Linked DNA regions of Schizosaccharomyces pombe. Changing the gene in region 4 together with the main gene of any one other region gives a genetic interaction. Each region holds a gene or a part of one and is shown on either strand. Other genes may lie near its edges. The genes, in order: uap2, npp1, ptf1 and vps38.

What was found.
Region 1: mutations in vps38 (region 4) and uap2 together harm fitness more than expected from each alone (negative genetic interaction), as found in Schizosaccharomyces pombe (one large-scale study listed by BioGRID).
Region 2: mutations in vps38 (region 4) and npp1 together harm fitness more than expected from each alone (negative genetic interaction), as found in Schizosaccharomyces pombe (one large-scale study listed by BioGRID).
Region 3: mutations in vps38 (region 4) and ptf1 together harm fitness more than expected from each alone (negative genetic interaction), as found in Schizosaccharomyces pombe (one large-scale study listed by BioGRID).

Annotation. Positions count from the first base shown.
Region 1 is NC_003423.3:4,382,952-4,388,930, forward strand, and holds uap2 (U2 snRNP-associated protein Uap2), read right to left. Parts: upstream 2,640-5,979; 5' UTR 2,607-2,639; coding exon 2,499-2,606; exon of another isoform or gene 2,437-2,498; coding exon 1,865-2,436; exon of another isoform or gene 1,754-1,864; coding exon 1,330-1,753; 3' UTR 1,086-1,329; downstream 1-1,085. Other genes in the region: chr4 (SEL1/TPR repeat protein1, 3-beta-glucan synthase regulatory factor Chf3/Chr4), read right to left, coding at 1-590; Ran GTPase Spi1, read right to left, coding at 3,396-3,733, 3,868-4,054, 4,240-4,365; pob1 (Boi family protein), read right to left, coding at 5,392-5,979. UniProt on the Schizosaccharomyces pombe protein: Has a role in pre-mRNA splicing.
Region 2 is NC_003423.3:1,208,920-1,214,840, reverse strand, and holds npp1 (nucleotide pyrophosphatase), read left to right. Parts: upstream 1-2,449; 5' UTR 2,450-2,488; coding exon 2,489-3,946; 3' UTR 3,947-4,050; downstream 4,051-5,921. Other genes in the region: serine/threonine protein kinase Ppk31, read left to right, coding at 1-2,018; 2-hydroxyacyl-CoA lyase Hac1, read right to left, coding at 4,119-4,163, 4,215-5,876.
Region 3 is NC_003424.3:2,603,657-2,609,195, forward strand, and holds ptf1 (phosphoric monoester hydrolase), read left to right. Parts: upstream 1-2,495; 5' UTR 2,496-2,528; coding exon 2,529-2,571; exon of another isoform or gene 2,572-2,622; coding exon 2,623-2,661; intron 2,662-2,717; exon of another isoform or gene 2,718-2,884; coding exon 2,885-2,957; exon of another isoform or gene 2,958-2,998; coding exon 2,999-3,533; 3' UTR 3,534-3,758; downstream 3,759-5,539. Other genes in the region: vps11 (HOPs complex subunit Pep5/Vps11), read left to right, coding at 1-306; protein She9, read right to left, coding at 603-1,556; serine/threonine protein phosphatase PP2A catalytic subunit Ppa1, read left to right, coding at 4,447-5,376. UniProt on the Schizosaccharomyces pombe protein: Component of the mst2 complex which is a highly specific H3 lysine 14 (H3K14) acetyltransferase that functions together with gcn5 to regulate global levels of H3K14 acetylation (H3K14ac), critical for DNA damage checkpoint activation.
Region 4 is NC_003423.3:1,803,439-1,809,678, forward strand, and holds vps38 (phophatidylinositol 3-kinase complex subunit Vps38), read left to right. Parts: upstream 1-2,792; 5' UTR 2,793-2,823; coding exon 2,824-3,060; intron 3,061-3,290; coding exon 3,291-3,461; intron 3,462-3,525; coding exon 3,526-4,542; 3' UTR 4,543-4,879; downstream 4,880-6,240. Other genes in the region: arrestin-related substrate adaptor Any1, read right to left, coding at 4,964-6,049. UniProt on the Schizosaccharomyces pombe protein: Involved in endosome-to-Golgi retrograde transport as part of the vps34 PI3-kinase complex II. Mediates the interaction between atg6 and the pik3-ppk19 core complex, leading to the recruitment of atg6 to the membrane.

The DNA.
Region 1 (5,979 bases), 2.6 Mb from region 4:
GGTAAATCCGCTACTACCTGCTTTTGCAATGGGGATCCGTTATTCGGTTTAGGGTTGTGATTAGAAAAATGTGCCTCTTCATGAGGGAATACAACGTCCGCGGCTTCATTAGATGTACGTAAATATCCTGGGGCAACACATGGTGTAGAATGAGAGCGAGTTGCTGAAGGAGCTGAGTTTCTAATATTCGGCAAAGGACGGTCCCGTTTTGTTTCTTGTGAGCTGGTAGCGCGTTTAATAGTTAAAAGAATGCTAGAAGAGGATACGTTCGGTCGTGAATAAAAATTCTCTTTTTTCATGTTGGTTACAGAGGCACTCAAACTTTGTGTATCGTTCATTTCCGGTGCAATCATGTCGCCAATACCGTAGGCAGGTCCAATGGCATCTGTTTCAAAGGGAATGCTAGATTGAACATTGGAGAGGTAAAAAGCATTTATTCGTGAGGCAACTTGAGGATCGGTTATAGAATGCCCAATTGAGGACCTGTTTCTGCTTTTGATACCGCGTATATTGTTCACCGACTGAGAAGAATATGAAAATTCCGGCACACCCAAGGGGCTTCTATTTCGCATAGAAGATGCTGAATCCATTTAATGGACTTTTTAGGAGAATAGTCAGATTAGCAAAAGAAAACTCGTGTAACGTGAAAAAAAAGAGAGTAGCTAACCACTTTATAAACTTTAAAACAGATTTGTAGCGAACCTAGCAACTTTCACTAGAGGAAGATTTGAAAACAAATAATGTCTATAACTTAGATCCTTTTCCTCCTCAATCGCGTTCTAAAAGTAGATCTTATAATGAAAGGGTAGTGGGAGTTGTCAATATACACACATACACACATTGGAACGGTTACTTCCTTGACCAGCGCAGTATACCCTAACCAGCATAAATCGGGGTAACAAGGTGTAGAGGAAAGAACAGAAAAGATAGTAGTAGTAATGTGCAACGATAATCAACATGAATGAATATCAGGAATAACTAATAGCGCATAGCATAATAACAAACTTATATTGATGCACGTCTAAATAAAACTGCTTTATACATGAGGATGTAAACTAGCTATTCATAGAGTATTTGTATGTGTTACAAAAATTAGGGACCATTCAATTATGATAGGAAGAATGCCTTATTATGACTGATAAAACTGTTAGCTTATTCTTTTATCCGAAATTGAAAACAATTGATATTTCGCCAGCTCATTGTCACTTTAAACAAGGGATAATTTTATTTTAAAAGAAGAAAAAAATAAATAAATAAAGAGGTCAAGAAAAACACACGTATAAATGGATAATGTGCCAACTGAGACATAGTTACGAAATTTAAAAAATTTCAGTTAGAATTTTCTAACCAATCTGCGAATTTTTCCAAACGTTTTTCCTCGTCCTCTTCATCATCTAATGTATGCTTTCCACTTTTCTGGAACCGAACCTTTCCATCGTAAATTGAAGCTTCCACTACCCGGCCATCAAAATATCGGCCTTGCATTAACCTTACGCAAGCTTCAGCTTCTTCATTGTTTGAAAACCGTACAGTTACTACTCCATCAGGCTCCTTGTCGTACAAAACCACATTAGTAACTCGTCCACATTTCTCAGCTTCCTCAGTGATATCGTCTTTTAAGTCAATTAAAAGTTCAGGTGTTTTATCGAGTTCTTCCAGCGTAAAAATATGCTTTAAAACTACTATTTTATTAAATCGTTTTTTTCTTTTATCATCAACCTCTTCGTCAACATCATCCCAGGATGAAATTTGCCTAAAACCTGTTAGCTCTATAAATTAAAAGATAAAACCGAGAAAGAAAAAAGTTGGTATGCAACAATAAATAAAAGAGAAATTTTTTATGAGTATTCATTACATAACATACTGCATTTGTTGTTGTCGGAGACGAAGTGCCTTTTTTTTTAAGGCACCACCTACGTCTTTGTTCACCGTTTTCTCCTTTTTGTAATCAATATTAGCTTTCTGGACACGCATCTTTTGCCCAGATCCATAACGAAATTCAGTGTCATCAAATAATTGCTCTGCAAGCTCAACACTTTCGCTGCGGAAAAATACAATTAAAGCATCACCTTTAGGAGTTCCATCCTCTGTCCGGTAGATTTTGATTCTCGGCGTACCATTGTCAATATTCTTAGCAATAACACCGCATTTCTTGAATACTTCTTCAATTTCGTCAACCGTGACATCCAGTGGTAGTCCTTGAATGTAAACCGCTTTGTTTATTACTGGGGCGGGCGAGGCTTCTGAATTTTCGGACTTTGACTTTTTATTTCGAGAACCTGAAGGATACCCTTCAGCCGATGTCGATTCGTACAATCGTTTGGTATGGCGGTCTTCGCCGTTGCTAGATTCCTTTCCTTCGGTAGCCTCCGCCGTAACATCACTGACTTCTGCACCAGTTGAGCCGGCCTTATTCATTTTTAAGCTATTAGGATCCTTGTTTAGTTAGGGGTCATGTTTGTCTCAATGGAATGGTAAAGCAAAATTGTTCATCGTACATAATCTTTCCAAGTTTGTTCTTCATCAATATATATTAATTCGTTTCCTTCTGATCCTAAACATCTCCAACGATGTATTCTTTCATCCCAAAAAGGCTGGCTGGACATAATCTACGAGCTCTAAAACGATTATAACTTGGTAAAGTTCAAAATGACCTCGATTGTTTTCACATAACGATTTCTAACAACGCCACAATATATATGTAGAGTAATGTCACTGCTTTGTATAATATGTATGGAACAAAATACAGCTTCTTTAGAGATTGAGGTAAACAATTAATGTATTGATTGTCAATATTCTTATTAATGCCAGTAGCATTGAATTTTCGCATTAACGCATACACTTTGTAACCTATCGTTACACAAGTCAAAAGTATTAGTTTAGTTTTCAATTTAGGGATTTGCCTACGGCTAACAGCACGCAACTCGCATACCTATGTTGTTGAATGCCAAAACTACCAAAAAAACTAAGACGATAAATCAATAAATAGGCAGGCATAGTTTCTTTACTAATCCTAGTCCTCAAAAAATCTTCCTTGGTATGCCAGAACTTGTCCATCAGTCGCACACAATATCAATTTTAAACTGAAACAAAACATACAGGCAACAAATGTGTATTTCTAAAAATGAAGTTACCAAAATTACAATTAACTTAAAAAATACGATTTACACTTTTTACCACACATAGTGATATGAACATATCAAACTAAACATAATCTATTTCAAATAACCCCAACGGAATAGCTTAATGAATAAATTCTTTCGAGTGGAAAAATACTAATAAGTTTTATTTAAGGAAAAGAAGGGGTATTTTTTCGAAACCGGAACCGTCCCATCGGCCAGGAACCAATGTATTTTATCTGCAAGGGAGACGTAAAAAAGATATAAAAAATTGGTTTACAAATCAGCGTCATCCTCATCAGGTAAAGGCATAGCAGCAGCCTCGTTCATTTCCTGTTGGTATTGAGCTAACAATTGCTGATCGACTTGAACCTCAGGAGGAGCAAGGGCAGGCGAAGCAACAAACTCCAGGTTGGGGTTGCCAACCAGCTTACGGGCAAGCCATAAGAAAGGTTTTTCGAAGTTATAATTGGACTTGGCGGAGATGTCGTAGTATTGAAGGTTTTTCTTGCGATGGAAAGTGATAGCCTTAGCCTTGACTTTACGCTCTTTAACATCAACTTTGTTACCGCAAAGAACAATGGGAATGTTTTCACAAACACGGACAAGATCACCTGCATTCGATTAGTAATGTTCATTAAAGTAGTCAAAAAAAGCTAATGTCAATATACTTATAACCATTAAATCTAGCGGTCTATGAGTATCAAAAAAAACATTTAAAGCTTTTTTTTGCTTAAATATCACTTACGCCACCAATGGGGAACATTCTTATAGGTAATACGGGAAGTAACATCAAACATGATAATACCACATTGACCTTGAATATAGTAACCATCACGAAGGCCACCTAACTTTTCTTGACCAGCGGTATCCCAAACATTAAAGCAAATTTCACCAAAATTAGTATGAAAATGCAAAGGATGGACCTCAACACCCTAAAAATATGTTAGACTGTTGTTTCTAAACGAAAGATCTAAGCATAAAAAGAGTAACTGAAAACCGATGATGCACGAGTACAGATAACTGTATGTCTCATAAAAAGATGGCATTTATTTACGATACTAGGCATCGTTTCCGGTATACAAAAACTGTTCTAATAAAGTAAAATCATAAAACGTACCAAAGTTGCAATATACTTCTTTTCAAATTCACCAGTCAAATGACGCTTGACGAACGTGGTCTTACCGGTACCACCATCGCCGACAAGTACAAGCTTAAAGGTAGGAACGTTTTGTGGTTGAGCCATACTAAACTTTTCTCTGTTGCACCTAAACTAACTGAGAGTTTGGTTAAAGGAAAATTTTAGTGGTGCGTAATTTTTATATGAATAAAAGACCTGGGTATAACAAAACCCTAACCCTGATAGTCGATTGGAATTTAACAGAAAAGGGAGTGTATGGTATAGTTTTTTAATGCCGATTTAACGAATTGTTTAACGAGTTTGACTATTGCTCTTATTGAAGTTGATCGCCAAAAAATGGATATAGTGTCGTTTTTGAAATTTCAAAAAAGAATTGCTTCTACGAAAAGCTACATTTGTGCGTACTTGCTTATACATTCTGGGTTTATACACAACTTACAAGCAGCCAATGCTTACTTTTTGGACGTCACTACACGGTTTTGATTGCATGTAAAGATAAAAAACCGCAGCCAAGAAAACGTATTTGCTAATCCAAGGAATGCCAGGAATGCCCATACATAGAAAACAAACATTCTAAATTTTCATTAGCTATATTAGTATCACTAGTAAAAGGCCTACGAATTCTGCAATGATCCAGGTCCGCTACCAGCGTGGACTCAGCTGGATCGAAATGATCGAAATAAAGATTAAAAATAAAACAAACGAAAGTGGTAGGAAGTCGACAAACAAATGAAAATTATCAGTAAAAAAATGCTGAATTAATAGAATGATGCATTTGCTTTTAAAAATTTATGCAATAAAAGATAAAAGCAAATAATTCAACGTTAAATAAGCCATATGTGCATGATGAAGATACTATAGCTTCCGCTAGTAAATGTCGGTAAACCAGAATCGAAATGAGCGTATCAAATATGCCCGGTTAATTCTTAAATTGGTGTCAAATATGTCCGCAGTAAAAGCATCAACGAATTTAAAATTCAAACATATTAGCTATGTTTTCAATTTTGAAGGGATATTTAGTTTGAAAATAGATTAAGGAAAACCAGATACTAAGAACAGGGTCTGTTGCGCAGGTTTTAGAATTGGAATGTGTTGCACTTTGCTTTTGTGGATTTTGAGGAGTGTCGGTATTTATTTTTGCTTGCTTGATTTCTTATTCTTTTGTTTTGCATTCTTCTTTAATCCAATCGAAGAAGTGAGATTTGCTTCATTTTCATCATCAATTAATAGAGAAGGAGGCCTAGTACGAAGTTCTTTAGCTTTGCTAAGTGAAATGGTAGGCATTCTCGACGTTGTCAAAACAGGTACCGACATATCGCGTTCCACAGTAGCCTTGAGAAAAGCCGAAGACCAACGATGTAATTCTTCATTATTTTCACAAGTAAAATAATGAACCTTTGGTGGAGTGAACATAACTGCTGCTTTAGCGGCACCTGGAGCAGGTGGAATTAACTTGATAGCAGTTTTGCCTCCACTTAGAACAATGTCATCGGTTTTCGTAACACGATGAGAAGTCATATCAATTAGGCCTTTTTCTGAAGCATCATTTAATGAATGGTAATAAGAAAGCCTTGTTCCTTTTAATACAAAGTATCTAGACTTCCAAACACCGTAACGATCACTACGTTTCCGCATCCAACCATGACAGTCCGCCGTTTTAATTGCTTCTTTGGCAGGTATATTACTTAATCCTTCACTAATTCCAGTAGGTAAAACCTT
Region 2 (5,921 bases), 590 kb from region 4:
TTAAAAATTTTCTTCAAACGTACTCCTTGAATATGCTATCAATTGAGATGGAAAACATCGAAGGAAGTCTGTACTTTGGAAATGCTCAATTGTCCAATCTAATTTGCGTAAACCAATACCTTTCCGAACAGAGACCAGTGTTTTTCAACAGGCTGTTAGCCCTTGGGAACGTTGAAAATAATAATTCAATTTACGATGACATCCAGAAACGAACAGAACGTATATCTACCATAAAAAGACATAAAAAATACTTTGAGATTGGAGAACGCTTAACAGAAAAAGACTTAATTGTGTCTAAAACCTTTAAAACAACAAGGATAGATTATTTTAAAGCGGTAAAGGGATCAATTGAAGATCTGGATGTGAGACCTCTAAAAAATCGGCAGAAATTTGTTAACAAATTCTATGCCTCGATCGTTCATTTTCTTACCGAAAGTATGCAGTTCCCAAGCCATAATGATAGGAGATTTGGGGATAATACTCCTCACTCATTAGACGAGTTCATACTTTTAAAAGAAATAAACAGAGGGGCATACGGTAGGGTTTATCTTGCTAAAAAAAGATCTTCAGGAAAGTATTTTGCTCTTAAAATGATTCCAAAATCCAGTCTTGATAGCTTAAAAAAAATAAAAGGACTATTGCTTGAAAAGCGTAACATGCATATCCAAAGATATGGACCAAACACAGTGAAATTATATTATGCATTTGATTCTGGGGACTACCTATGCCTTGTAATGGATTATTTTAATGGAGGAGATTGTGAAACACTTATTCAAAAATTAGGACCGTTACCAGAGCAATGGGTTTGCCAGTACGCAGCTGAATTACTAAATGCTATCGAGCTTTTGCATCAGGATGGAATCATCCATCACGACATAAAGCCTGCCAACATGTTGGTTGACGAAACAGGACATATTCGGCTTACAGACTTCGGACTGAGTGAAAACGTAGAGGAAAAAAAAGAGGTTTATAAGCTTACTAAGAGGATGTCATTTGAACAGAAACATGGAAATTTGTATGAGCAGCTTCAACCTAAAAAATTCGAATTTGTAAGATATGTTCGAAATTACCGCGGGAATATTGATGAGCTTGAGAAAGCGGAGAGTCCACAGCAAAATAGTGATTATGCCAATGACTCGGTCCAGCATTTACTTGACTTTGATATCAATAACATGGATGAAACAGCAATACACATGTTAATGAATCAGTTAGAGAAAAAGGAAAACCGGACATTCATCAAAAAAGATATTTCAGGGACGCCAAATTATATGGCTCCAGAAATTTTAATGGGCGTTGATACTCAGATGGGCGATATATGGGCGATGGGTTGTGTGATATTCGAAATGTTGACTGGCACGCGACCATTTGAAGCAAATACTGTAAAAGCAATATGGGCTCGCATAGAGAGAAATGATATTGGTTGGACTAAAAGAGTGAAAGAAAGCTGCTCAAAGGAGGCGGTAGACTTAATCACCAAACTCATGGATCCAGACTGTAACAAACGGCTGGGTAGCAATGGATACCAGGAAATCAAAAAACATCCTTTTTTTCGAACCATTAAATGGGATAATTTAAATAGTGGGCCAGGTCCGTTCGTTCCACAAACAGAAAATGTTGAAGATTTGACGTACTTTGAAAAAAACATAAGCGGTTCGGATAATATTAATAAAAATAATTGTCAGACGTCAGCAACTTTAATTCTAAATGGTATTTTTGCTTTTCATCCTCCTCCAAAAGCAACACCAGCTGACAGTGGTACTGAAACCTCAAACTCAGCTGCTTTCTCTGCGTCCGAGGAGGAGACCACAAATTTAACAGACCAAAAACGAAAAGATCTTTTTTCACTAATAACCAAAGCGTTTAAGGGAATAGACTTAAAGGCCCTTAATTACAACAACAAAGCCACGCTTTTGCGAATGTATGATGAGGTCGATTTCCCCAAAAATCAACAAAGAAATAAAGAGAAATTTCGAATTCAGAAACGACCTAACAAAAAGTATCGCTACCATTTATTTTAACATCATGTAAAACCATAGACATAACATGTTCGCTATCCAGAACGAATCATGATAAGTTGAAAAATGGTTAATTAATATTTCCATACAGAAACAGTAAAAAGACAAATAAACTTGTTCTACAAAATCTTTTATTCTGAGGCTTTAGCCAAATAATGCTTCTAACATAAGTTGATGTTTCCTCCTTGAATCCAAATATTATTAATAGTTGAATTTCATATATGAAAAAAAGCTATCTCATTTCACTAAACGTTTCAAAGGATGACATTTCCTATACGACAGAACATTTAAGAGGACTGAATAGTTTACGAATTGAAGTAAGTTAGAACAAAGTGTTTACCGCATATCTTTGAAAGCGTTAAATGATTTTAACAATATTTTTCGCATCGTTATTCAAGTAAGTATTATTTGACAGATTATATGATATACCTAACAATACTCCTTTATATCATTGATTTTGAACATTCGCCGAAATGTTTAGTTGGGCTAATATTGGGTCCAACGAGTATTTGCCTTTGAAAAATGATCGAAAGGCTTATTTGAATCAATGGGCAAAACGATCGGGACTAGCAATTGCCGCTATTTGCATTTTAGGAATTCTGATATTGGCAATTGTGAAATTATTTTGCTTCAAAGCAATTATTTTTCCTATCGTTGGAGGTTCCTTCAACAATGGGACCAATGTTTTTCAGTCCACTGTCATCGTAATCTCCTTGGATGGATTCCGTGCTGATTACTTATATCGTGGGTTCACACCTAATCTTCTGAGCCTGGCTGAACGTAATGTCCATGTTCCCTTTTTGATTCCTTCTTTTCCTAGTATAACTTTCCCTAATCACTATACTATTGTTACCGGTTTATATCCCGAGAGCCATGGAATCGTTAGTAACAACTTTTTTGATCCTGTAACTGGGAAGCAATTTGTCAACAGTATGCCTGAATGTAACAAAGACCCAACTTGGTGGGATAAAGGGGAGCCTATATGGGTCAACGCTGAGCGAAATAACGTTCGATCAGCGGTACATATGTGGCCTGGAAATGAAGTGGAGAATCATGGTTACAGACCTACTTATTCGGATGGTTTCAATTTTGATACGACTCTAAGAGAAAAGAAAGATAGAATACTCGAATGGCTGGATCTTCCTGATAAAGACCGCCCTCAGTTATTACTTGCTTATGCTCCCCATGTAGATATGGTTGGGCACGCATTTGGACCGGATTCGCCTGAACTGAATATCATAATTCAAGAAGTTGATATCGTAATTGGTGAACTAATTGAAGGACTGAAGAAAAGAAATATCGATAAGCATGTCAACATTATTTTTTTAAGTGATCATGGAATGGCGCCTACATCCGATAATCGTCTTATCTGGCTGGATAATATGTTTAATTTGTCTGCCGTTGCACACAGAGATGCTTGGCCGTTAGGAGGTTTTAGAGGAGAATCTGATTTAGATGATGAGTACATTTACGAAAGTCTTGTTAATTATTCTCGCTCGTCATTACCTTCTGCTGAGAATTGGAATGTTTATTCAAAGAAAGATATACCTTCTCGATGGCATTACTCAAATAATGAAAGAATAGCTCCCGTTTGGATGATCCCGGATGTTGGATGGTCTCTTGTCTCGATGCTGGATCATTCACCGGAGTTGGAGTATGAGCCTTTGGGTGTACATGGTTATGACAATTTGTCTCCAGTGATGAGAGCACTTTTTATCGCTTCAGGATCTTCTTTTAAGAATTTTAAGGGAAAGAAGCTTGCACCGTTCCAGAACACCGAAATTTATGGCATTCTTTCGCATATATTAGATTTACCAGCTCAGCCTAATAATGGTACATATGAAGGTGCTTTACCTTTAAGAAGAAATCGTAATTCTACTAAGGAATGGTTGCTGAAGGACATAGAACAAGCATACTCTAAGCTTATTTAATTCTGCTGTTTTATCACTATCTTTATATTTTTTAATATTTTTAATTTCCTTTAGATTATATTTAATACTTTTTTTTAATAAACGACTTTATTTGAATAGCAACAATAACTGTATTCCGATTTTTAAGAATCGTAAAAGAACATCACTTCTTCTATTTTTAATTAAATGATGGTCATAACTTTGGTTTCACTTTGGTACTGCTCATCCATGCAAATGTCTAGTGATTGTTAGCTTGTTCTTATACCTAATTCATTCCATTAATACTTACCAATTTTCGAGCAGCCTCCGGGTCCACCATAACATTTATGAGAGATACAGATGAGGTTTGCCATGCTTTCCTGAGGGAACTTCTCAAATCTTCTTCATTCTTTACAAAGAAACCTTTACCACCACATGCTTCGCAAATTTGATCATAACGTATACTAGTGCCTAAGGCAGTAGTCGGTAATTGGTGATTATCACGTAAAGTTTCATAAGCATCAGTATCTAATCCATGGTAAACACCATTATTATTGATTACAATTACCAAAAGATCCAGCTGGTTGCGTATGGCGGTTTCCAGTTCCATGGCGCTAAAGCCAAAAGCACTATCACCCTCAACTACCACTATTTTGTCGGATGAATGGGCAAATGCGCTGGCAATAGCATATCCCATACCAACTCCCATTGTTGACATAGTGCCTGCATCCAGTCGACCACGTGGATGAGTTACTTCTAAAAGCTGACGGCCCCGGTCCATTGTATTGGCGCCTTCAGAAACCCAAGTGATATTACGCTTTGATTTGAGCGATAAGCTTTGTAGCTCCTCATTCACGACATACAAAGCATAATTCATTTGCAACGGTATACTGGACTTTCGAGATTCAAGAGCCTTTTTCTCATTCTTGGATCGGGTTTCATTTAACGTGCGAAGGTAAGGGGTCGAGATGCCAACACTGTACTTCCAAGTTTGAACGAGCTTAAAAAGACAATCTATTGTCAGACCTACATCAGCCCAAATTGCTAAATCCAAATCTGCAGCATTGTTTCCTAAAGTTTCAGCATTGGTATCAATTTGAATAAATTTGGCATTAGGAGACCACTTTGGTGGAAGACCATATTGAAATATCCAATTTAAACGTGCCCCTGCTAAGAGCACTACATCTGCATTACGAAGAGCAGCTGACCTTGCCGAAGACACATTTAAGGGATGCGATTCTGGTAACAAACCTTTGCCCATGGGACTCGGAAGAAACGGAATGCCAGTATGTTCAACAAATTCCAAGAGCTGTTTTTCAGCGCAGGCATATGCGGCACCTTTACCAACGACAAGCAGAGGTGCCTTTGCATTTTTTAAATAGTATGCAGCCTTCTGAAGCTGTGTTGGATCAGGTGCACATTTGGGAGAACTAGGAATTGGGGGTAGAGGGTCTTTAGGAAAGTCATCGACAGTAGATTCAATATAATTTGCTGGCAAGTCAACATAGCATGTTCCAGGAGTGCCGGTCATGGAGACACGATACGCTCTTCGAATGGAATCAACAACCATTTTGGGACTTGGGGGGCGCACGGCTAATTTCGTATGAGGTGATAAGTAAGAAACCTGGTCCAATTCTTGGAAGGCCCCACAGTTTTGCTGAAATGTTTCACTGGATCCAGCCAAAAGCAGCAAAGGCCATCGATTGGTTTTAGAATTGAAAACACCGGCCATGGCATGTACAACGCCAGGACCGCCTACCACGACACAGACCCCAGGGCGCTGAGTTAAATAGCCATAGGCAGTCGCTGCATAAGCTGCGCTTTGCTCATTGCGAAACCCGACAAACCGAATTCCACTTGCTTGGATAGCCTCACAAATTTCGATTACGGGAATGCCAACAATGCCAAAAACAACTTTAACCTCTAAGTCCAACAATGTCTTAGCTACCAATTCCGAAAAGCTTATAGACATTGTTATTACAAATTAATATGTACCTCTAAATTGAATAATATTGTT
Region 3 (5,539 bases), on a different chromosome or scaffold from region 4:
TTAGACATTCTTGGAAAATCAGTCAATATCAAGCTCGAGCACATTAGTGACTCAATGCAATCTGTTCTTGACAATTATCGTGAATCAATCTCGAAACAAAATGAGGCTATTGAAATGGGTAAGCGGGATATTGAAGAAATTACTAGTCAACTTTCAATTCTTCGTACAAGAGCATTTGTCGTGCAAGAGTCTAAATGCTCTACCTGTGGAATCGATTTAGAGTTACCTATGGTACATTTTCGCTGTGGACATTCGTATCATCAGCGGTGTGTTGAAGATGAATGTATTCGTTGTCGATGGTTATAATGAGTCAAAAATATGAAAATTAAATACAAAGAAAGAATGGAAGTAATGCATTATTTATTGTACGAAATAAGTTACTCAAGTCAAAATTATGATTAAGAATATTTCATTAATATTTTTTTTGGCAAAATGGAATTAGGTAGTTACACTTGGATTCTCTGATAAGGTTTCTTAGTTTGAATAAATGAAGATATACATCTGCTTTGCTCATAACGCAAATATCTGCTCTTTTTAAAACTTGTAATCTATAAAACCTTTACCATAAAATCTTGTAATTAACGATTGTTAATGTAAATAATTCAACGCTTGAATGCTAAACCAAACAAGTGAATAAAGGTGTAAATAATAACTCCACCGCCTACCGTAAATTTGGTCGCCAGAATAGACAGTTGACGATAAGTCAATTGAATGCGGTAGTCTGTAGACAAAAAGCGAGATAGGAAATATTTTAGCGAATCCAAAAAAGAGTGAAACGTATCGTAATTAATAGGAGGAAGAATTAAGGACGCAGAATTTTTGGGAAGGTTTTTATTGTCAATTTTCGGAGAAGTAAGCTCTAATGCTTGGCCGACAGCTTCACCTTTTTTATCAAGTTTCTCGGAAATCTTTTTCAGTTCATCATTTATTTCAAGTTCTCGTTCCTTGTCAATGTGATCCACAGCTTCACGAACCAACCGTTTCCTTTTCCTTGGTTCCAATATTAGTTGAACGACCACAAAAAGAACAACGTTAATTCCCATTAATCCCCATGTACCCCAGGTACTTGCTTGCCGGATTTTATCACTCCAAACTTGTTCTTCGTGGTATCTCGATAAAATCGAACGCACCAATCCATTTTGAGCTTCCTCTACCCGCCTTTCCGCTACATCCACATCTTCTTGAGCCTTAATTTCTTCTTCTTTGTTTGAATAATCATCACGGTATAGTTTAGTAAATCTTTCTAAATCAATAGTAGACCAGCTACTACGTCGTTGTAACAATTCGTTGACTTCACGTTGACTTGACGATCTTTTTTCAACCGCTTCAATATAACGCTTTCTTGCTTCAGCTGCAGATAATCTAAAATCACGGAGCTTTGTCTCCTGCTTTACAACCGCGTTCTTTAATGCCTCAATGGAGGAATAACCAGTTAATTCATTCAAGCGTTGACTCGCTTGGAGTATAGTCTGTTGAACTGATCCATTTCCTTTATTATAGATTTTGGGAAAGCGAGCAGCAAATCCCTTAATAGACTGAGAAAGTCGTTGCAACATACTTTCTTAATACTTATACATTACTGTTATATCCTTTCATGTCTTCATATAGTGAGTTAAACATAATGTACTGCTGCACCAGCCATAAAGCTGGTTTACGGAAATATTCATAAACAGCTTAGAATATGCTATTTATAGTTAGGTATCAGCAATACTATAATACGCTATAATACTTACGTTGCGTATCACTATATGTCACATGTCCTAATTAAATATCGTACTATGTATGATACGATATTGAGACTGATCTTAATGATAATCTATTAATATTTATATCATCTGAATACTATAAATAGAGCTACTGCTAAACCTCGTTCCTCAGTTCAGTTACAAGCTATACCAGTGATAGGTAACATTATAACCTTGTTAATACAATACCTACACTCAGTTGCTACTTATATTATCTGTGTATTGCGATATTATAGGTCACAAGGAAAACTCACCGCAGTTCTACGTATCATTAAAACGAATACGAAACTGCGTAGCTAACATTAGGATAAGCGAAACTCACGCTTGAGAGAATGTTGTAGATGTAAAAAGCATTTGAAATTTAAAAAGAAAAAACAAAAAAAAAAAAAATTACACTTCACTTTACAAGGCTTGGGCCACTTTTCTTAGGATTTATGGTAAAACGTACTGAGGATATCGTTTACCCCTTGCAGAAATATAGAATATCATTTCTTTTCTTTGATAAATATATGCTTTAAGTTAATTCAACCTCTACACTAATTTCGATTTTTAATCTGCAGCCCTTTAAAATAAAGAAGACTGTAAATTACTTTAAGAATTTCATTTTTTTGCATATAAAAGATAAAATATGACATTTATCATGACTCGAACAAACGACTGCTTGCTAATCACGGAATAAACAACAAACTTTATATCAGTGCTGGTAAGTTTCGTTACTTTAAATCCTAGAGTTGGATAGCTGTACAAAGCAAGCAATTTCAGCAATTCAAAAAGATTTGGACTATGGCTCAGAAAAAGCAGTTATACGTATTCAGTGACTTTGACGGTATGAAAAAATAATTTCAATAAAAACAGACAACTAACTTTTGGGGTCTAGGAACTATTACACTCCAGGATTCCAATGACTACTTAACTGGTAAGGTTGGGAATAGGAAGATTGTTACAGATATAAAAAGATGTATAAAGGTAGTTAGAAAATGTTCTTACAATTAAGCTTAACTGAATATTTATTGAAGATTTACGAAAATCTGTAAGAGAAATCTATGATTTTATAACATTGGGTCAAAAATTTCCCTGCCCACCTTGAATGCTTTATTACTGCAACACTCGACGGCGACGGTTTACTAACTATGTTTTAGACAACTTTGGAATGGGCAACGCCAACCGTGTGAATCTAAATCAACAAGTTCTTGACGGTTCCATTTCTTTTCGGTAAGCGTTTGACGCGTAAATCAACTCTTAACAATTCATAGTGATGCTTTCGCGAAGATGTTGGATTCAGTGCATTTAAGCTATGATGAAGCTTTGGAGGTTCTCAAGAAGAATGTCGCCATTGATCCATCATTTAAACCATTCTATGAATGGTGTAAGTCTCAAGACATTCGTGTAATCATCCTTTCAAGTGGTATGGAGCCTTTTATTCGTGCACTTTTTGAGCAATACCTTGGCAAAGAAGAAGCAAGTAGTATTGAAATTGTTTCTAATGACATCAATGTGCATCCTGATGGTCAATGGAACATTGTGTATCATGATGACAGTCATTTTGGACACGACAAAAGCCTTACTATCCGTCCGTATGCTCAATTGCCAGAAAGTAAACGTCCTCACATGGTCTATTGCGGAGATGGTGTTTCCGATTTGAGTGCTGCGAAGGAAACAGAACACTTGTTTGCCAAGAAAGGACGTGATTTAATTAAATATTGTGAAAGGGAGAAAATTTCTTTCTCTGAATTCGAAACCTTTGCTGATATCCATAAAGATTTGCAAAAATTATTCTTTAGCAGTTAAATCTGAATAATACCTAAGAAGTTTTCGTACTTCAACATTTTTATACCTAAAGTTGATAGATATTTGTTATCAGCGCCTCGAAACTTAGTTTCAAGCAGGTCCTCATAGCAATTTAAATGCATCATTCACCAACGGTTCGATTAGTTTGGGTTGTTAGAAGCAATGATTTAACATAATTTGTATTTATATACTCATCCATTTGCGAGTCTTGTATGAAAAATCCTATATCATATCAGTCCGTAAGTGGTCGCATTGCTACAATATCTCTTTATTTTTTTTAAGAAAGAAAATAAAGAGATATTAAATTTTGCGTCTTTTGGTCGTGAGATCGCCGAAATAAGGTAGCGAGTATAACATAATGTAGATCACGCATATTGTTATATTTTGGTTTGGTAAAGTTACTCAAAGTCAGGAAACTTGTAATGATGTTTTAAGGGGCTTGCAGAAAAAATTGCTATTACGAAATCCATGTCTGTAATATTTTGGTTATTAATAAATTGAAATAAAATTTAAAACATGAAATATTGTGACTTTATGTATCCTGTCTACTACCATACCTTTCAACCTTCATACAAATTTTCCCGTACTCGCATCATTTTCTTTCTTCACCTAACTCCCCACCGTGTCTGTAAAACATAATATTTCTCTTTCCCACATACGAACGAATAAATAATAAAATACAGTATATGTACAGTAAACGTACCTCAGACACCATTATTTTGTCAAGAAAGTGAATAAGCTTACAATACCCCCGTCATCCAGTGAATTCGTAAGTGGGAAGTTGAAAAACGCATGCTCAACGCAGGATAGCATACAAACGGAAAAGCCCTTATGGATTTTTCTGTGGATGCTTTTCTTTTTAATTAAAAATTTAGTCGTTTATTAACTATTGCTTTAAGTTTTTTTCAACAAGATGTCTGTCTCTGGAAAAATTGGAGAGGTCGATCGTTGGATTGAACAGTTGAGTCGATGCGAACCTCTTTCAGAGGAAGATGTCATTCAAATGTGTGATCTCGCAAAAGAGGTACTTTCTGTAGAATCAAACGTTCAAAGCGTCCGATGCCCTGTAACGGTTTGTGGTGATATTCATGGACAATTCCATGACTTAATGGAGTTGTTCAATATTGGCGGCCCTTCACCTGATACAAATTATTTGTTTATGGGAGATTATGTTGACAGAGGATATCACAGTGTAGAAACAGTTTCTCTACTGATTGCTTTTAAAATTCGATATCCCCAGCGTATAACAATATTACGTGGAAACCATGAATCTAGGCAAATTACACAAGTTTATGGATTTTATGATGAATGCCTTAGAAAGTATGGAAATGCGAATGTTTGGCAGTACTTTACAGATCTTTTTGACTATTTGCCTCTCACCGCCCTAATTGAAGATCGAATTTTTTGCCTTCACGGAGGTCTTTCTCCTAGTATTGATACACTTGACCATGTTCGTATATTAGATCGTGTGCAAGAGGTTCCTCATGAAGGTCCGATATGCGACTTGTTATGGTCAGATCCTGATGACCGACCTGGTTGGGGTATTTCTCCTCGAGGTGCTGGGTATACGTTTGGCCCGGATATTGCTGAAGCATTTAACCATAATAACGGTTTAGATTTAATAGCAAGAGCTCATCAGCTAGTTATGGAAGGTTATAATTGGACTACAAACCATAATGTTGTTACTATTTTTTCTGCTCCCAATTATTGTTATCGATGTGGAAACCAAGCAGCCATTATGGGAATTGATGACCACATAAATTACGCATTTATCCAATATGATACTGCTCCCCGAAAGGAGGAATTACATGTCACCAGAAGAACACCCGATTACTTCTTATAAGTCATCGTATGTTTTACTTTCTTCTTGGACTTGTTAATAGCTGGAATTTTTCATGGTTGGATTTTAGCGTTGTCAACGTGCCGCTAAAAATTTACTTTAATTTTATGGGTTTCTAATAGAATGTTGTTATCTTCGAATTTTTAATTCTCCTGTTTCGGTACAA
Region 4 (6,240 bases):
AGTTATTAGACAGTGGGCTACACTAAAGACCGCTATAATGTTTTTGCATCGCGAGTTACTATTATGTTACATGTTTTATTTACTCTACTAGTTTTGCATGAATAGTTTATCCAAGATATTAAATTACCAATTATAATAAGATATTTACCAGTAACAATAATACTGATTTTGAATACTATAACTTGAAAATTGAATTGAGGAGCGAGGTTCAGCCATGAGCTATATCAGCGTTAGGTTACAAACAATACCGACATCAATAACTCAGGTTACTATGTATTCATACATCTAGTAATACAACAGATCATCATTAGAGCTCACCGCAATCCTACTTATAATTGAAGCAGATATCAAACTGTACATTTAAACAATTGTATAATTCATTAAATCATACCTTATTGGCAATTTACAACGAGACTGTAGAACTCCACAACAGGTTTGGAGCGAGTTAGTTCTGTTGAACTGTATTTTATACTATTTCCTATTTGTTGGTCGAGCTCAATAGATTTTGGTAGGTTTACTATATCTTTTTAGGTATCAGTTGTAACTACCATTCAATACTTTGTAATTCAAAAATCATTATGTTTATTTTTATAGAAATTAATATGTGCCGCTGTTCAACATCACCATTTTCTTGTTTCAGATTTAAAGAATTAATTATCCTGTTCTCCACGGAAGCTCTGAGTTTTAAGTCTGCACGTACTCATTGCCGATATTTATTTCAACTCAATAGGTATCATTACGGTTTGGAGAACCTAAAAAATCTTAAATTATGAATTCCAACGTAAATATATGAGGAAAATAAAGATGTGCCATGCTTTACATATTTTGAGCGAATCGACCAGCTATAAACAGTACTCATCAACACATTAGTGGTGAGCATACCGTACATGGAAAAGCAAAACATCCTTTTTTAATAATACAATTTTTTCTTATTAACTAAAATCCTTACCCGATTAGGTGGGTGTTGTTCATCCATTATCTGTGCTACATTTAGAGAGAGACCTCTTTCCAAATCGATTACACTTTCATTTTCTATGTTTACACATCACTCATTTGTAAATAGACCTTCTAACTGGACAATAAAATTTTCTCAGTTTTTAAATTAAAGAAATGGAGAGTATTATACAATATTGCATGAATTGAAAACATTGAAGCGAAAGAGCGTGAACAAGGATTTCATCCTAACTCGTAAAGCAAATGTTCATTCTGCCTCGTTTGACATATCAGACGGAAGTCAAATCAAAGTGGATTTAAATTATAAAATAACTTGAAGTTTCATTTTATCATGTTTGCAGATTTTATTTACATTTCATCTCCACATTCCAATTGTATGCACATATGCAATACCCACTGTTACTGGTTCCTTTCTTAACGAAAATTATCGCCGCATACTAAAAAATATTTAATTTGTTTATTGTGACTGTAAATTAATTTGTGTTTTTAGATCTTTTATCGGGTTTCTTCAGGACGGGCTTGATGACACTTCGATTGTTTACAGAATATATCTATAGTTAAATTATTTAAACAACATTAGCAAGTCCAACCTATAATAAGGAAAATAAGCTCACTCTGGAAGTTCTACTGGTTTGGCCGATAATGTTTTTAGCAACATGTAACAGCGTTTACTATTGAATTTGTTTAAATTTCTTAAATACCATTTTGATCATAGCAATTCTGTTCGGTTGCTTATAATATTGCTCTAAATTATTTTTTATTTCACTTACTTCTTCTGCGTTTTATTTCTTGCTGACTGTAAATATGGTTAAATTGTTTTCAAAAACAAAGTATCAAATTTTTTTTTGTGCTTCTTCAGCGGACAAATGAATAGTAAAAACTGAAAGCGTGCTTTTTTGTTGGTAATAATGTTTGATTTACTCTTTTTTTTTTTTTTTTTTTTTTTTTTTTTTTGGCTCAGACCTTCTTGCTCATAATGATCTGGGCCATAGTACATCAATTTTCGAAGACAGTAATAAAGCAATTAAAAAAAAAAATTTTCGCCATTGATTCAAACTCACATCAGTTATCAATTAAAAAATTTCTTTACAGTTAATTTCTGCTATATTATTTTATTGAACCTTTTTAAATTCATTCAACCATTACGGAAGACACTAAATTTCCTTAAAGAATGAGTTCTGAGCTAAAGGATCAGTGGCCAGCTTTAAGAATAAGATATATTACGGCAAAGTTTCAGAATTATCTAAATATAATTTAATATAAATACATTTAACGATTATATTATGTATAGTATTATAATCCAATTAATTAATGGTAGCATATAATGACACGCAAAAGGGCTTAGTGAAGTCTTGCTGCTGACAATAAAGTGCATATAATGTTAGCTTCGCAGTTTGGTATCTGATTTAAGGATACATAGAACTGCGGTGAGTTTTCCTTGTGATCTATTATATTACAATACACAGGTTGTATGAGTAGCAACTGAGTATAGGTATTGTATTAACTAGGTTATAATGTTACCTATCACTAATATATCTTATAACTGAACTGAGGGACGAGGTTCAGTTGTTCTCAATTTATAATATTTGAAGTAGTAAGAATTATATCTGATAGTTATCTTATCATGAATGATATTATATCTCCATCTTGATGACTTATCATGTAATAGTTGATAGAGCAAATAGAACATTGTGAACATGTGACATATAGTGATATGCAACGTGGAGTATCATTGCGTAGTGTAGTATTGCTGACAATAACGAACTAAACCAGTATATTGTTATCCTACGCTAGCACCAGACTCAGCTGAGTTTACCAAGTAGGGCGATGCGATGAAGCAAAAGCATTCATTGCTTTAACCATGATAGAATGTCGCTTGAATTACCAGGAAACTACCGACTTTCCAGGCTTAAATCAATACAAATAAGAAATGTTCAAGAAATTCAAAATCATAGCAAATTTGCGATCAATACGACGGAAAATTTGTGGAAACGAGATGTGCAGTTAAAACGTGCAATTTCCGAAGGAACTATTCGTATTTTTATATCATTGCATGTGCAGAGTAAGAAATTGCCTGTTTATATTACTGAAACGAGCGGAAATGCTGTATGTGAACATGCTTTGATAAACAAAAGTATCTGAATGGTATCATTATATCTAGGTTATTTGCTTGATTGAAAAGGTTAATCAGTTTGTTTATACAAGTGATTTGCCAAAATTTCGTTGCTCAAATCCTTGAAACAAAGCCCTCAATTGATAGTTTATACCTTGTATCTCTTTTACCCATATACAAATTTTGTATGTATTTATGTTCTTTGTGTCTAACCTCTCATTAGAATCACATCTTTTACGTCGATGAAAAAGTAACCGAAAAGCTTCAAAAATACCGTCACGAAGAGTACTTTATCGTGAGGACTTGGTGCTCATCAAGTAGTCATGCCTTCAAGCTACATAAAGAATGGAAAATTTTGAGATATGACAGTAATTTTCGTTATATTGGTAATGATGTACGGTTGAATATTTTTGGTTTACCTTATGTTTCCCTTGTGTTGACTAACATATTATTTGTAGCCTGTTTTTGCAGTTTGTCATATTCGAAACGGTCTTTTATGTGAATTTAATGATGGCGTTTACATCTACACAACATCCCAGTCTTCGGATATTATGAGACAGACCTCCTTTCCAAAAAGTGCCTCCACATATTCTATAGACAGGCGGAAGGATGGTTACACTATTCAGAAAATCACTCGAATTTTGAAACTGGCTGAATGCATAGATGAAATGCACATTGCTAAACATGAAATTCGAGCTCATTTTCAGGAGGAGGAGTTTCAGCAGATACGTTTGATGCACAAAAGGATGTTACTTCGGGATGAAAAAATCGATGAACTGGCTAAATTAGAACATCTTTGGCAAAAACAAATTAATAGCATCACTCAGATGAGGACGAAATTTGACAAGACGAAAAGCTGGTTATCCTCAAAAAGGAACACTTTGAACAAATCCAAAGAATCCCTTCAAAAAGATGAAGCTGAGTATGTGGAACTTGCCAATTCTTTAAAAACAAAAGTAGAGACCAATATAGAGATTCGAATCCTTATGGCACATGCTATTCGTATGCACGTTTCCCATCTTTCCAAAATTTACCCAATCCAACCATCGCCTGGCAATCATGACGAGTTTACAATTCGCAATCTCCGCCTATCTTTTGAGCCAGATAAAATTAATAATGTGGAAATGGCTGCTTCCATAGGATTTTTGGCGCATTTACTTCAAACTCTTTCAAAGTATCTCGAAAAAGAACTCGCTTATCCAATTCTTTGCGCATCTTCGAGATCCTCCATCCTGGATACATTGACACCCGACATCCCCACGCGTATCTTTCCCCTTTATCCAGCAACTCGACCAATTGAGCTTTTTGAACATGCCATTTATCTTCTCAACCAGGATGTAAATGATTTTTTAGAAACTTTTGGATTACCTATTGACCAATCCATGGACATACTCAGGAACTTTAAAAAACTGCTCCAATTTATTTTATCAGGACAACATCTATCTTTTGTACAAGTAACGTCTACCGCTCCTTAACAATTCCATAAGCTTAGGCACCATAAGCCTAAATTATCGTTAATTGCAAAACTACGCATAACTTGTCTATCGTTTAATTGTATCTTTTCACCCTAGTTTACTCTCAACAATCAATTTCGTTTTCGTATTCTTTGTTGGAAATTCATATACCCATTTCACGGTTTAATTTTAATCATCTTAATGAAGAGTTTTTATGGACATTTGCCGAAGGCATATTACTCATTGTCATTGCGACAACTACTATACAATGCATTTACGTTTAAAATATAAAAATAAACAGATAATGATGAATGTAGATATTATAAATAGTTCCCTTAAATTAATAAAACTTGTGAATTAAAAAATAAAAAGAGCCATGTTCATTTTTTGATAGTTATGTGATGGTGATCGAGCTCTTCCGGTTACATCCGACCCACATATTCTAGGTATAGGCAGGCGGAGCGGGTCCTACACTTTCAAAAACTGGCGGGCATTCTTCATCCCAACTAATACCTAAACCAGCTGGCGTGGTAAGTGGCTGAACGACTGATACTCGTAAGATACGGGCATTGCCCATATTGTTTCCCGCAACGTTCTTTTTTCTATTAACAATGGTCTCAAAAATTAAATGATGAGAGACTTTTAAGGAAAAAGGGGCAGGAATTTCCACGTCACAGCTTGGCTCTCTTAAAGAAGATGTGTTAATTTGAGTAGATAGAAACATCTGATTATCAATGAACTTCCATCCCGATTGTAAATCTTGTGTACTCAAAATTCTTTTTTCTTCAATAGGTCGAGGTTTTACCAAATCACGATGGCGTTCACATGGTTGACAACTAAACTGCATATGCTCCTCCAATCTCCAAGTAACTCTATTGATCTTCCAATCGTTGCCGTCATTTTGGGCAAAACCAGTCATGGTAACTTCCATAAGCGCAGCTCCATGAGGATGCAAGGTACTGGGCAAAGTAATGTTTGCAACAAGATTCGTAGGGGGAAAGATACGTTTATGGATGGTATCAGGCGAAGGAATGGCAGCTCGCTTTAGTTGGAGAGGAAACTTAAGAACTTCGGGCTTCGAGGGAGAAATTCCGCCTTCAGGAGTACCATAGCATAACGTAGCTTCTAAATAATACTCAAGCTTGATGTATCTGTTAGAAACCGAAGCAGGAAGCGAACCAGGGAAAAGCCAACTAAAAGGCCAATGCTGAGTACCAGGTCTATATGTGGTATTTGCAGCTAAATCCCAAGTCTGTAAAACCTCTTTTGAACCCGCACAAGCAGAACAATGAGAGATTGCAGGATGAAGAACGGTGATCCTTTTTATGAGTTGCAGCTTGAGGGTATGTACTTTAATAAAAGGTTGATGTAAAATCGTCAGTTTTAAAATGCCAGACGCAAGTGCACCACTAGACGTTTCCGGCGAGCCAAGGAATACCAGCGGCGGTGATTCCATACGTATATCTAACGTACAGCGAGCAGGGTCTTTTGGCGTGGTTGAACGAGGTAGTGCAAGTTTTAATGGCATAGTAATAAGAAAATCTAAGCGTTTGTCGGTAAAACAAAGGAATGGAAAAAAAAATAGAAATGGAAAATTTTTTAAAAAAAATTACCAGTATGAAATGATAAACCAGGAATAAAATAATGTGTGTAAAAATGCCAAGTACACCTAAAAAAACCAAACCCTACAGTGGAAGAACACTGCTAAATTGAACTTAA